Linked DNA regions of Daphnia pulex. The protein of the gene in region 2 purifies or fractionates together with the protein of the main gene of each other region. This does not show direct contact. Links are inferred from orthologs where the notes say so. Each region holds a gene or a part of one and is shown on either strand. Other genes may lie near its edges. The genes, in order: apoptosis-inducing factor 1, mitochondrial-like; thioredoxin-2-like; COP9 signalosome complex subunit 5-like.

Region 1 (4,448 bases), on a different chromosome or scaffold from region 2:
GCGTCCAAACCAACAGCAACGACAACATGGTCAGTTTTAATCTGATGAAATAATTGTTAGATTTTAGTTGACATCGCTAAGACATGTATTAAAATAAATGTTTACCTTTTGACCATCGTTTAAGGTCAATACGACCTTGTTGTCTTCCAAGCTTGCACCCTCAACAATAGCTTTGGGCATAACCTGAACACCTTCCGCTTTCACCTTCTCGGTTGTCCATTGGCTCAAATATTTAGGGAGGACTCGGCCCATGTTACCGTCCTCAGGGAAAACTTGAAGCACCTCCAATCCATTACTTTTGGCTAAATGAAAGATATGTTTCCATTATGCAATTTGCCAACAACTTGAATGGATTCAAAACAAGGTTAATACTCAGATACTATCTAGCAGGAAGACAATCATAGTCGTTCAACATTCCATAATTTATAATCACAGTGACTAAAATGATTTTATGAATGGTTCAATTATTTACCTCTTCTGCCAAGAGCACAGGCAAGTTCACTGCCAAGGAATCCACCACCGATAATGGTGATGGACTTGACCTGGCGGGAGATGGAGTCGAGTCGCTGGAAGTCATCGATGTTGCGGAACAAGGTTAAGTGTTCCTGGACATCTTTAGGGGCACTGCTCAGGGATGGCAAAGATTTCGGTTTACCACCTAGCAATAAAACAACGGCCATTTTTAGAGTGATTCGTAAAAACACAAATAAATTGCTGAAATTTAAAAAGGCTCTCAGATACTATCTAGCAGGATAATTATCAAAATTGTTCAACATTCCATAAGGGTGTAATCATTGAGACTTTTAAAGACGAATTTCGTTTAGCATAAAATGTTTACCTGTGGCAATAAGGCACTTGTCGTATGTGATGGTACGACCATCGTCAAGTTCGGCTTTCCGACCAACAATGTCAAGTTTAACGACGCGGTGTCCACGTACAACTGCAACGCCGCCATTATCTTTGCTGTTCAATTCGACGGGATTGCAATAGAATTCGTCTTGTTCGAAAAAGAGACTGGGAAGGAAAATAAGTCATTAGTACATGTTCCACATAGTTGTAATTAACATTGGGCTCACCTTCGCTCTTTGCCGTTCCACTGTTTAAATCGAAGTTTATTTGAAACTTCGGGGTCTTCACTGAACCACAATTCTTTCGACAGAGGTGGTCTCATGTAGGGCAAGTGATTTTCTTCACCGATGACTAAAACCTGTAATGGGTACAACACAAATATTTTTACTATGCATGTAAACAAAACCAATAAAAATTTTTTTTACCTTTGCTTTCGGGTCACGTGATTTGATGGCACGGAAAGCGGCAAACGATGAAGTACCAGCTCCAATCAATAGATAAGGAACGTGCACGGGAAAATCACCGGCGACTGCAACGGCTGCTGCTGCAGCTGGAACTACTGTTAAAAAAAAAGGAAAAAAATAAAATTAAGAACTTTTCTACATTAAGAAAATTTTTCTACAGCTAAAAGAAGGGATTTCTTGATCAAACACTCAGCTTCCCTCGAAATTGTATTGCTTCTAATCGGCCAACGTACAATAAGTCTTCCACCAACCATTCATTTCATCAAATATTTCACAACCTACACTTTGAATCGAAATTTAGCCAGTGTTGCGGCAAATTACAAACAATAAACTCTGAAGGTTAAAATAAATTTTTGGGCACTGGGCTAAAATTGGCGATATTCCAAAATAAGACTATTTTGTTAATGGACTGAATAGATGTGGCAGTTTTGATACAATTCATCTATTCTAGCGAATGAGTCTAAATTAATAACTAACTTATGATTGTGATTCTGTGACTGATGAAGAACCATCAGAAACAGTTTCAGCAACAACTTCTACAGTCAAGGCAACACTCACTGTAGGATCAGATTGAACTTCACCTTCTGATTGATCAGAGGGCCCTGATTCATTTCCACTAGGAGCTGGGACAGCTTCTACACTTTCAGGTACAGATGCTGGAGCAACTTCTTCAACGATGACGGAAGCAACTTCAGCCACAGGGACAGCCTCTTCTACAACTGCAACTGGAACAACCTCTTCTACAATTGCAACTGGAGCAGCTTCTTCCACAACTGCAACTGGAGCAGCTTCTTCCACAACTGCAACTGGAACAACCTCTTCAACAATTTCCACTGAAGCAACAACTTCTGGTTCAGAAATAGGCTCTTCTACAATTGTAGCAGCGGCTGCTGCAGCTTCTGCTGCCTGCTTGCGAACCTGTTCGTGACTCAATACATTGACTTTGGTATTCAATTCGGGGCCAAGGTTAAGGTAGAATGAACCTGTTTGGTATCCCTGTGTGTGTAGAAAATGCTGTTAGCGATGCTGTAACATTTTACATAAATATTTAATTTACCACAAAAACTGTGAAAGCCGTGAAACCCAAACCTGCAGCCAAGTGCATGTTGTACTTTGCTTGTACTCGGGAATGTTCTGAAGCCCAAGAACCCTTAGGTGTAGGCATTTCGTTCAACGTGGCCGGTTTAATTGCTGGCGGGTTGTAGCCATGATCTGAGCCGAATCTCTTAGTTGTACTTTCGCCTAATTAATACACATCGTATCAGTTCCTAAACTTACAGACACGTTGCTATAGTTTCTTGAAACTGGCAATTCATATAAACTACACATAAATGAATGAAATTATATCTTACCGACAAATCGTTGTCTGCCATGACCAAGATTTGACTTAATGGTGGTTGAGCATTGAGAAACCAATTGCCGGCATCTGTACATTTTCGAGCCGATTTGTAAACGAAAATTTCGAGATTGAGACCGGTCACGTCCTCGAAAATGGCCAAGATGGAGAAAAAGGAGGAGGAGAAAGGACTCTGGAGCACGTGATCAGAGAACGTTGCCAATTTCGAAACACACTTCTTTTGTGATAAATAATGAATAAGAATATGAAAAAGAGCGATAATTTAATGATTAAAAATTTTTTAAAATGTTAACCAGATAGAAAAAAAGTTTTTCTCATTATTTGCTTTAAAGAAAGAACAAGCTTTACGCCACCTGTGGCGATTATTTGCACTATGATTCAAACAAATATTTCTGAATTCGTTAAGTTTAAAAAAGGATTACTACTTTACTAGGCTATTTTAACTTTTGCCAATTAATTGTTTTCTGTTGCAAATGTCATTCGTCCCTCAGGCTACGCAACGAGAGCATTCGTTTGTGGTTTAATGGATAGTCGCCCAATAATGTTCAAAGAAAATAAACGTCCCCTTCCAAGACCAGGAAATTTAAATATCCTTTTGGCTAAATGATCTTGAAACTTAATAAGTTGTTGCCGGCCATTGTCGTCAAATTTGTTTAGCTCCGTTTCTCCCTGTCGCACGCAAATAATGAACGACGCACTTTTTTCTTCCTTCCCGATAGATCTTTGGTCCTTTAATACGGGTTTTACCTCGCATCCTTTTGAAATCTGTTGTTTATTTATACAGGCAAGAAATGTCTCTATACAGCGACCGCAGTGAACCCTACATTCAAAGTCAAGGTAACTGTACGCTATATAAAGAGCGGGATAAAGGAATTATTTACGGCGAATTTCCTTATTCATTTTTCTAACAAGAAAAATCACCACGCACTGATGAACAAACTTAGCATTTTAAACCTAGAAATGTCCAGTCAGGTGCGTACATATTTTAAATATTTGTTGCACTCCTGCGTGTGCTGTTTAGCTCAATTCTTCTTCTACTTAACATGCAGCACTCCTGTCTAGCAGCGTTATTAATGTACCTTTTTTTATTCGGTTTGATTTCTATGGCGAACAAAATAGAAATATTAGTCATCTGCCTGTGGAAAACTCACCTCGCTGGCTTTGTGTCCGTTTGAACGTCATTTTTTGTGACGACTTAATCATTCGTCACAAATTGCGACTCACAATTTTTCAAAGGTACAGGGTCGCTAATAACAGGTTTTGTCGGCGGTTCTAAAAGATCAGTGGTCTGTGGGATTGCCTTTTTAGGGTAATCAAATTTGGTGCGTACCTTCGTCACGGTCATGCGACTCAAACCGGAACAATTACTCTTGAATGATGGCACCAACCCATCACCATGATTACACAGCAGTAAATTTAAGCTGACCAATAATGGTGTAATAAAAGTCAAACAAATTTAATTTGACGCTATTCATTTTCAATACAAAATCTAAATTCATGTCCAGCAGTTTTGCGACATTTTTCAATGTTCCCGCGTGAGTTTGACGTAAACAATTAATATTAAACGGTTTATTCTATGCTCGCGGGAAAACTCGTGTGTAGACTTATCGCCTTGAGGAAATCTGATGAGCACAGCAGCTTCCTTTTCCATGATTGAGCTAATGTGATGATGCTTATTCATTCCAAACGAATATGTCATTCTGAAAGAAAAAAAGGACGATGTACATATACCGTCGGTACAGGACCGGCACTGGTATATAAAGGACGCTGAAACTCTT
Region 2 (3,238 bases):
TGTCTGTTTTCCCATCTTGATGCTTGATGTACGTCTTGATCAGTAGCTCGTCGATGTCGAATGAAGTCTCAGTGGCAGAAATGTTCTGCGAACTAAATGTTTTTGGATTAAGTATCGATTGAGATGATCGAATTGGGAATTTTTTTTTGTGCCGATAATATTGGGAAAAGTTACGCAATTTATTGTAGCAATAAAATCGTAATTTATTGTAAATTTTGTCGTTGATTCCGAATTGGCATATCATTAATATTCGGTCGAATAATTTTCGATTATGATTCTAGTTGCAGTTAAACGAAATGGATGGCGCAATAAAAATTCCCATCCTATTTGGTAATTTCCCGCTATAACTAGACAAAGTGTCCTCCAAAACGGAAAAGAGCACTCTAAATTTACATTCCGTTGTGATCGCTGTAGCTAACAGGAAGAAAATGCAGTTGTATCTTGTTATAATTTTTAGGGTTCCCTTTCTGATCGTAGGCTCATTTTTCTATAGGAAATTCTGTAGACCCTCTCGGTGCCTTAATTTTTCCATTACAATGTATTAACTGCCGTCGTAATCAGATCTGATGTAATAAAGATTGCTAGAGAGTCACGTTTTACTCGAAATCCAATTATTATGTTATCGATTGGATATAGCGGCTGTTTCGGCTCTTTGTGTGTGTGTTACTGAGCGATTTAAATCTGACCGTGAAATCCTTATAGTTATCAAGAACCCAACCGTAAAAACTGGATTTCATTACAAGCGAGAGAGGGACGACACACTGATCAATATTAATATAGTTAGTTAAAGCTTTATCGAACGCATTCATCGATTTAGGTTTAGGCAATGTCATTAAATTATTGCTGTTGTTGAAGTCGGGGTTCCCGTTGCTATGGCTTCTTAATGGTATGAAAAACGCTGCAGTTCACATCAATTGGGAAAATGTGAAAATGCTTTTAGTTTATAGTGTAATTTGTATCTAACAATGAAAGAACAATTTTTTTGTCAGCCTGTATTTCCTGTGGTATAATGCAGAAAATCCCATTACACAATTATTTAATATAAAAGAGCATAGTATTCATCTAGCCAATATACAGGCCACATAACTGGGAAATCTATTTATGTTGATCAATCAGTTTTCTAAGCTGGTCTTCATTGGCTCCAGAAAACTCAGCAACCTATAATGAAACGACAGTTAGAAAGCTGTAATTATGAAATTTTTAGAGATGACTCACCTTTACACCATTCTTCAAGTAGAGGAATGTAGGCATGCACGAAATGTTGTACTCAGATGCAACATCTTCACATTCATCCACATCAACTTTAACGAAAACAACATTGGGCATCTCTTTCGACATTGCCTGCAGTAGAATTTGAAAGTTGATGAAACACCTACTTTGAAACAGTTATGAATATTAAGTTGGTGACCTCAATTTTTGGAGCAATCATCTTGCAGGGGCCACACCAAGTGGCATAAAAGTCCACAACAACTAATTTTCCTCCTGCTTCCTTCAACTGGTTATTGAAGTCTTGCTAGAATTTTTCAAAAAGAAAGTATATCAAACACGGAAAAGGAACCGTCCACGAGTTTGTTGTTGGTTTTGTAATTTGGCATAACGCAACAACGATAAAAGGAGGTCAAATTGATGGCGTTTCTCTCCTTTCAAACGATGATGTAACAAAAACCGAGAGCATGAGTCGATTGAAATGTGTACCTTGTCCTTAACTTGATAGACCATGATGATTAATATATCCCAAAGTTTACACGAACAGCAGGAATCGAATGTCACGTGAAGATCCTCGACGAGCTACTTGCAAACGACCGGCTCAAGCGTAAAATGACGAGTCAGAATTTAACGCACAGATCGGACAAGTGTCTTATGTTTGTTGCTAGCGCCACTGGTGGGAAAAATGAGAACATTTAGGCTTGGGTTCTAATTGATTCTTCGGGCCTTTAATAAATCAAGTTTGGTTGGATCTCATAGTCTGCCATCTAGTGGCGAAGCATCAGTCCCCAAGGAAAAGATTCAATTTCACGAGCACTTGAAAACTTATCTTTCACGCGTTGATCATTATTTTTAGTAATCGTTTAATTTTTCATGGTGTCTAAAAGTTTTCTGTAGTAAATTATAGCCAACGAATGGAGTAGTGACCTACCTAGTGAGTAAAAACCTCTAGTACCGCCCCCTTTTCCAACATACATTTTGTTGCTGACGTAAAACGTAAATCGTGAACGATGCACATTAATGGAAGGTCCCCTCATCACAACCCACGGCTTTGATTAAAGAGCCACAGTGATGCGATTAAATAAAAAAATGAATAAAAATGAACCAAAGAATGTCATCAGAAAAACATAGGGGGAGCCCACAATCGCACAATGCCATCTAGCAACCGATAGTCGAAATTAATCAGTCAATGGCGTCGTCGTCACCCGAAGAAAGCATTGTGACTAGTATAGAAAATGCTTGTAATTAATTCTCGCTGATTGCAACAGTATATCGTATTAGGTGTGTACAATCGTGTTGCTGCGTGTGTGTGTGTATACGATGTGGGTGCAAAAGTTACCTCATTAAACGAAGAGGCATCTGAGAGAGAAGCAGAGAAACGAGAAGCCTAGAGAGGAGGGGGTGGAGTCCAGTTGTCCATTGGAGGGGGGTGGCTTGGTGACGTCAACATATTCGTTTCTCCCCGTACTGCTGGTGCTGGTGAAAATTGTCTGTAGAAAGTCCCTCCGTGAATTCGTTGGAGAGAACCCCAAAGGTTCTGACTGGCGAGACTAGGGGGAAACCGTTGGGCTATACAGTGGGCGGAGCTTGGGCAGCAGCAGCAGCAGCCCAGCCAAGGCTTGTGGATGTGTCGCGGTTTTAACTTTTTTCTTACAACCGACTACTCGGAGCTAGTGTAAAGAGAAAAAGGGATATTATTTCGAATGATGGAATTCTCGGGGGCAGGGTCACGTGTGCCGCGCCGCTAAGGTAGTCCTCCATCCGTTTCGCTCATTTTCATCGACTCGATCAGTGTTTTCAACGTGTTTTAATTAAGTTTTTTAACCAACCCCACCGTCTAAACAACGAGCCTTGACTCTGTGTGTGTGTGTGCTCATTCCCTATACCCTTGCCACATCAATGGCTGTTGTGTTGTGTGTGTACGTGTTTGCCAGCGTGGGCACCTACGCCATTGCTCTCGATTCGGCTGCTCCTCCGTTAATAATAGTAGAAAGAAAATCATCGTCTCGTTCATTAAGTGATTTGCTTCTTA
Region 3 (3,512 bases), on a different chromosome or scaffold from region 2:
CAGGGTGACTACATAGATTTAACAATTGGAAGTATGTTTGGTATTTCTACTATGGCAGCAGCTGGAATAGGAAATGCAATATCTGATGTTGCTGGAGTAGGATCTGCTCAGTTCGTCGAGTCTTTTTCTCAAAAACTAGGAATTCCTCAACCCGATCTCGAGCCTCGGCAATATGCTTTTCGATCAACTACTTGGGCCATTAATATCGGACGTGCTATTGGTGTTGCTATAGGATGTGTGCTTGGAATGGTACCACTTTTATTTTTACCTACATCTGACAGCAAACGGCATTCAAAGGACCCTTCATCTCATTTGTGATTGGCATGTCCGATATATTATTAGTCTTATAACCTTACAAATACGTGAACCTAAAATAATTATTTAAACTCATAAAAATGACATTTTGCCGCGCAATGGCAATGGATCCTACTGCGACTTGGCAACTTTAATGTTCGATTCTTATTGTTTTGCACATTTTTGAGCATTCCGATGAACTAACGTGGAGATTCTTCACATAACAATTATTTATATTGCCCACAATTGCTGTTCAATCTTGACCCCATTATTAGAGATATAGCCAAAGAATTTTACATGTTCAATACAATATATTCTAACACTTGGTAACTCATTCACAGAAAACACAAACAAAATGGTATGCATAAGCCAGTTTATTATTAAGGATTCTCAGAGGATATTTAGAAAAACGAGATGGTTCACGCAGGCCTTGAACGCACTTGGTTGAACAGACGATCTTTAATTACTTGAGCCAGCAAACCATGAAGAGCTTCAATGGAAGTTTTTGTAGCATCACGAGCTGCTTTAGCTAGCCTATCTTCCGATCTTCTATCCTCAATGCTGGAGCCACTCACACCAACGCCGCTTCCGACTAGAGCCGCCCGTCCTAGAGAGTTTTCAGCTTGCTCAAGTTTTTCCGAAAGGTCCGATACTTGACCTGTTGTATAATCAGCATTCTAATAAAAAGAGATATTAATACTTTTTATAACATGATATAACGCTTTGAATATTTGTTCTTACTGTGGTGAGAGATGAAGAACTCAATGTGCTGACCCAGTACTTATTCCATAATGAGTCTAATAGACGGCGATCCAGAGCTGATTTAAAGTAAGAAACCTCAAGGGCATAGTACTGCTTGCAGTGGACACCAAAATCTTCAACCTTATTGAGTGGGATGGTTTGATACTCACTTGGCTCTTCATTTGGGGGTTTGTAACCCTAAGGAAAAATAAAAAGTAAACTACTCTGTACGCTTGATAGAAAAATATATCTGTTCACCTTAGGGTATGTACGGAAGGCACCAAGACACACCTTGCCAGCTGAAATAGTACGAACAGGATCTACAACAATAGCAACAAAGGGTTCCTGGAAATTTTGGTTAAGCATCTGGGTAGAAACATCAATTCCTGATAGCCAGCATCCATATCCAGGGTGTGAATGGTACCATCCAATGGCATTTTCAAGACGATTAACCTAATACTCATATTCCAATTAGTTACTTAAAAATGTGATCAAGAGCAAATGTACTTGCCTGTTTAGCTGATTCTATGTAAGCAGTCATGTATTCATAAGCCTGTGACTGAGCATTTACTCTGGTTTCTGTGCCTTCAACTGGCAGGGCAAATGCATCCATTACCACCATTGTGTTTGCATCTACTTTGCCCAAAAGCAATCCCATCACTTCTAGATGTCCTCCAGACCGAGCATGAGTAACCATTTTCAACAATGCCAAGGCTGATATACGGATCTCTTTGAAGAAATGAGGGCTAGAACATAAAACGTAAAGTTGTTAACATGACTTGATACAAAATAAAAAATAATATTACTCTTTATCCCATGGTTTAGCAGCCAACATGTCTTGCTGTTGCTTTCTATCATATCGATAAATTTCGTCAACTGAACTAATATTTTCCACATTATTAGCCATGAGCCAATTATTCAGGGCTATGTTAGATTGTGAACTCATCTTGGATGTGGAACACACAACCAATTTTACTTGAAACCTCTTTTTGCAAAAGACACTCTAAAGTCCAAATGGGGAAATTCGAACGAGGTATACCAGTGCTGAATATATCAAATCCAAACGTACAGCCGGAAACTAAATCTCATCGACTGTTGATGTCGTCTACGAGACTACGACCTACGGGTCTTGTTTTGCCTTTGGCATACTGGGAGCTGCTGGGAGAATGAAGAGGTAAAATGCGGGTCGCGGCGGTGGTAGGAACAAAGTAAAACGTAGGATTTCAGCCTCAGGGATGGATTGGACGACTGCGATTGCCTAGTCTGCTACGACTGCTACTTCAGTACTTCTGACTTCTCCTACTCCATTAGTCCATTGTCCATTGCCTCACCACTAAATCCCTATCTACTCTTTTTCCCACGTTTTACTATTTCTTACCGTGGAGTTGCCGATGCCCGATAAACAAATTCAAACTTGTTTCCAAACATGCTTTCGTTTCGAGTGTGGCAAATTAAACATAACCGTAGGAAAATACCTTGGAAATATTCATTATCTAGTTTAAATATTCTTCATAATTATAGAATACATTTTTCAACAAAAAGCCAATGCAAAGAAGAAGTATCTATTTCAAACAAATGTGTTACTATTAATCCGTGTGGTATACAAATGTTATCAAGATCTATCCATCGACAGATATTCGAAAAAGAAAACAACAATTCTGTATCTAAAGAAACGCTGTTAAAAATTCAGCAGCATTTATCAATTCACCATCTTTATGGCAAATCACCAAGTAAACTCCCAGATATTGATTTGAAGCTCCCAACTTTATTAGGAAAAAACATAGCAGAACACTTTGAAAAAATTGCTGAAAAACAATGTGGAAGTTACCGTAATAAATTGTTAGATTTGACATCACATTGCATTCCAGACATCCCTCAAGTCTGGAACTTTGCACCTGGATGGACAAGATACAACCAAAATGGAGAGATGGATCTAGTTCATTTTCCAGAAGAGGATGCATATGTCTTTGATGTGGAAGTCTGTGTGAAAGAGGGCCATTTGCCAACCCTTGCAACTGCAGTTTCAAAAAACTACTGGTACTCATGGTGTAGTAATCAGCTGTTTACTGAAAATAAGGTTTATTTTTATTTTTCTTAATACTTTTTTCACCCTATATCAATGCTTTATTATCCTACTTGACAGGTGCAAAGTTCAATTTTGAAGGATATGGAAAGTATTTATGAATTAAAGGACTTGATCAACTTGGAATCAAAAACGGAACAAGACCGTCTCCCTCTCAAAGATCAAAAAGAGCGTATCGTTATAGGACATAATGTAAGTTATGACCGTTCGCGAATAAAAGAGCAGTATTTCATCGATGGCACCAAAGTTCGATTTTTTGATACGATGGCTTTGCACATAGCGATCAGTGGCATCACGAGTTTTCAAAGAAACATGCTCCTTGCCGCAAAATCTGGTACCCCTATTGATCGTTCTCTGAAAAATCCCCAGTACTGTAATGGCAAGTCAAGAAAAA

The links.
Region 1: the proteins of thioredoxin-2-like (region 2) and apoptosis-inducing factor 1, mitochondrial-like purify together in Homo sapiens (affinity purification with mass spectrometry; 3 studies listed by BioGRID and IntAct, with this or other methods). This does not show direct contact. The link is inferred for Daphnia pulex from reciprocal best matches to the Homo sapiens genes TXN and AIFM1.
Region 3: the proteins of thioredoxin-2-like (region 2) and COP9 signalosome complex subunit 5-like purify together in Homo sapiens (affinity purification with western blotting; 3 studies listed by BioGRID and IntAct, with this or other methods). This does not show direct contact. The link is inferred for Daphnia pulex from reciprocal best matches to the Homo sapiens genes TXN and COPS5.

What each region holds. Positions count from the first base shown.
Region 1 is NC_060023.1:11,493,202-11,497,649, reverse strand, and holds the start of apoptosis-inducing factor 1, mitochondrial-like, read right to left. Parts: upstream 2,860-4,448; 5' UTR 2,748-2,859; coding exon 2,666-2,747; intron 2,582-2,665; exon of another isoform or gene 2,556-2,581; coding exon 2,371-2,555; intron 2,310-2,370; coding exon 1,895-2,309; intron 1,409-1,894; coding exon 1,275-1,408; intron 1,208-1,274; coding exon 1,077-1,207; intron 1,015-1,076; coding exon 839-1,014; intron 659-838; coding exon 473-658; intron 303-472; coding exon 106-302; intron 42-105; coding exon 1-41. UniProt on the Homo sapiens protein: Functions both as NADH oxidoreductase and as regulator of apoptosis.
Region 2 is NC_060019.1:1,507,950-1,511,187, forward strand, and holds thioredoxin-2-like, read right to left. Parts: upstream 1,839-3,238; 5' UTR 1,720-1,838; coding exon 1,696-1,719; intron 1,514-1,695; coding exon 1,409-1,513; intron 1,342-1,408; coding exon 1,216-1,341; exon of another isoform or gene 1,159-1,215; coding exon 1,096-1,158; 3' UTR 540-1,095; downstream 1-539. Other genes in the region: E3 ubiquitin-protein ligase rnf8-B-like, read right to left, coding at 1-15. UniProt on the Homo sapiens protein: Participates in various redox reactions through the reversible oxidation of its active center dithiol to a disulfide and catalyzes dithiol-disulfide exchange reactions.
Region 3 is NC_060026.1:5,023,526-5,027,037, forward strand, and holds COP9 signalosome complex subunit 5-like, read right to left. Parts: upstream 2,050-3,512; 5' UTR 1,982-2,049; coding exon 1,842-1,981; intron 1,782-1,841; coding exon 1,547-1,781; intron 1,489-1,546; coding exon 1,294-1,488; intron 1,234-1,293; coding exon 1,036-1,233; intron 972-1,035; coding exon 714-971; 3' UTR 654-713; downstream 1-653. Other genes in the region: transmembrane protein 65-like, read left to right, coding at 4-318. UniProt on the Homo sapiens protein: Probable protease subunit of the COP9 signalosome complex (CSN), a complex involved in various cellular and developmental processes.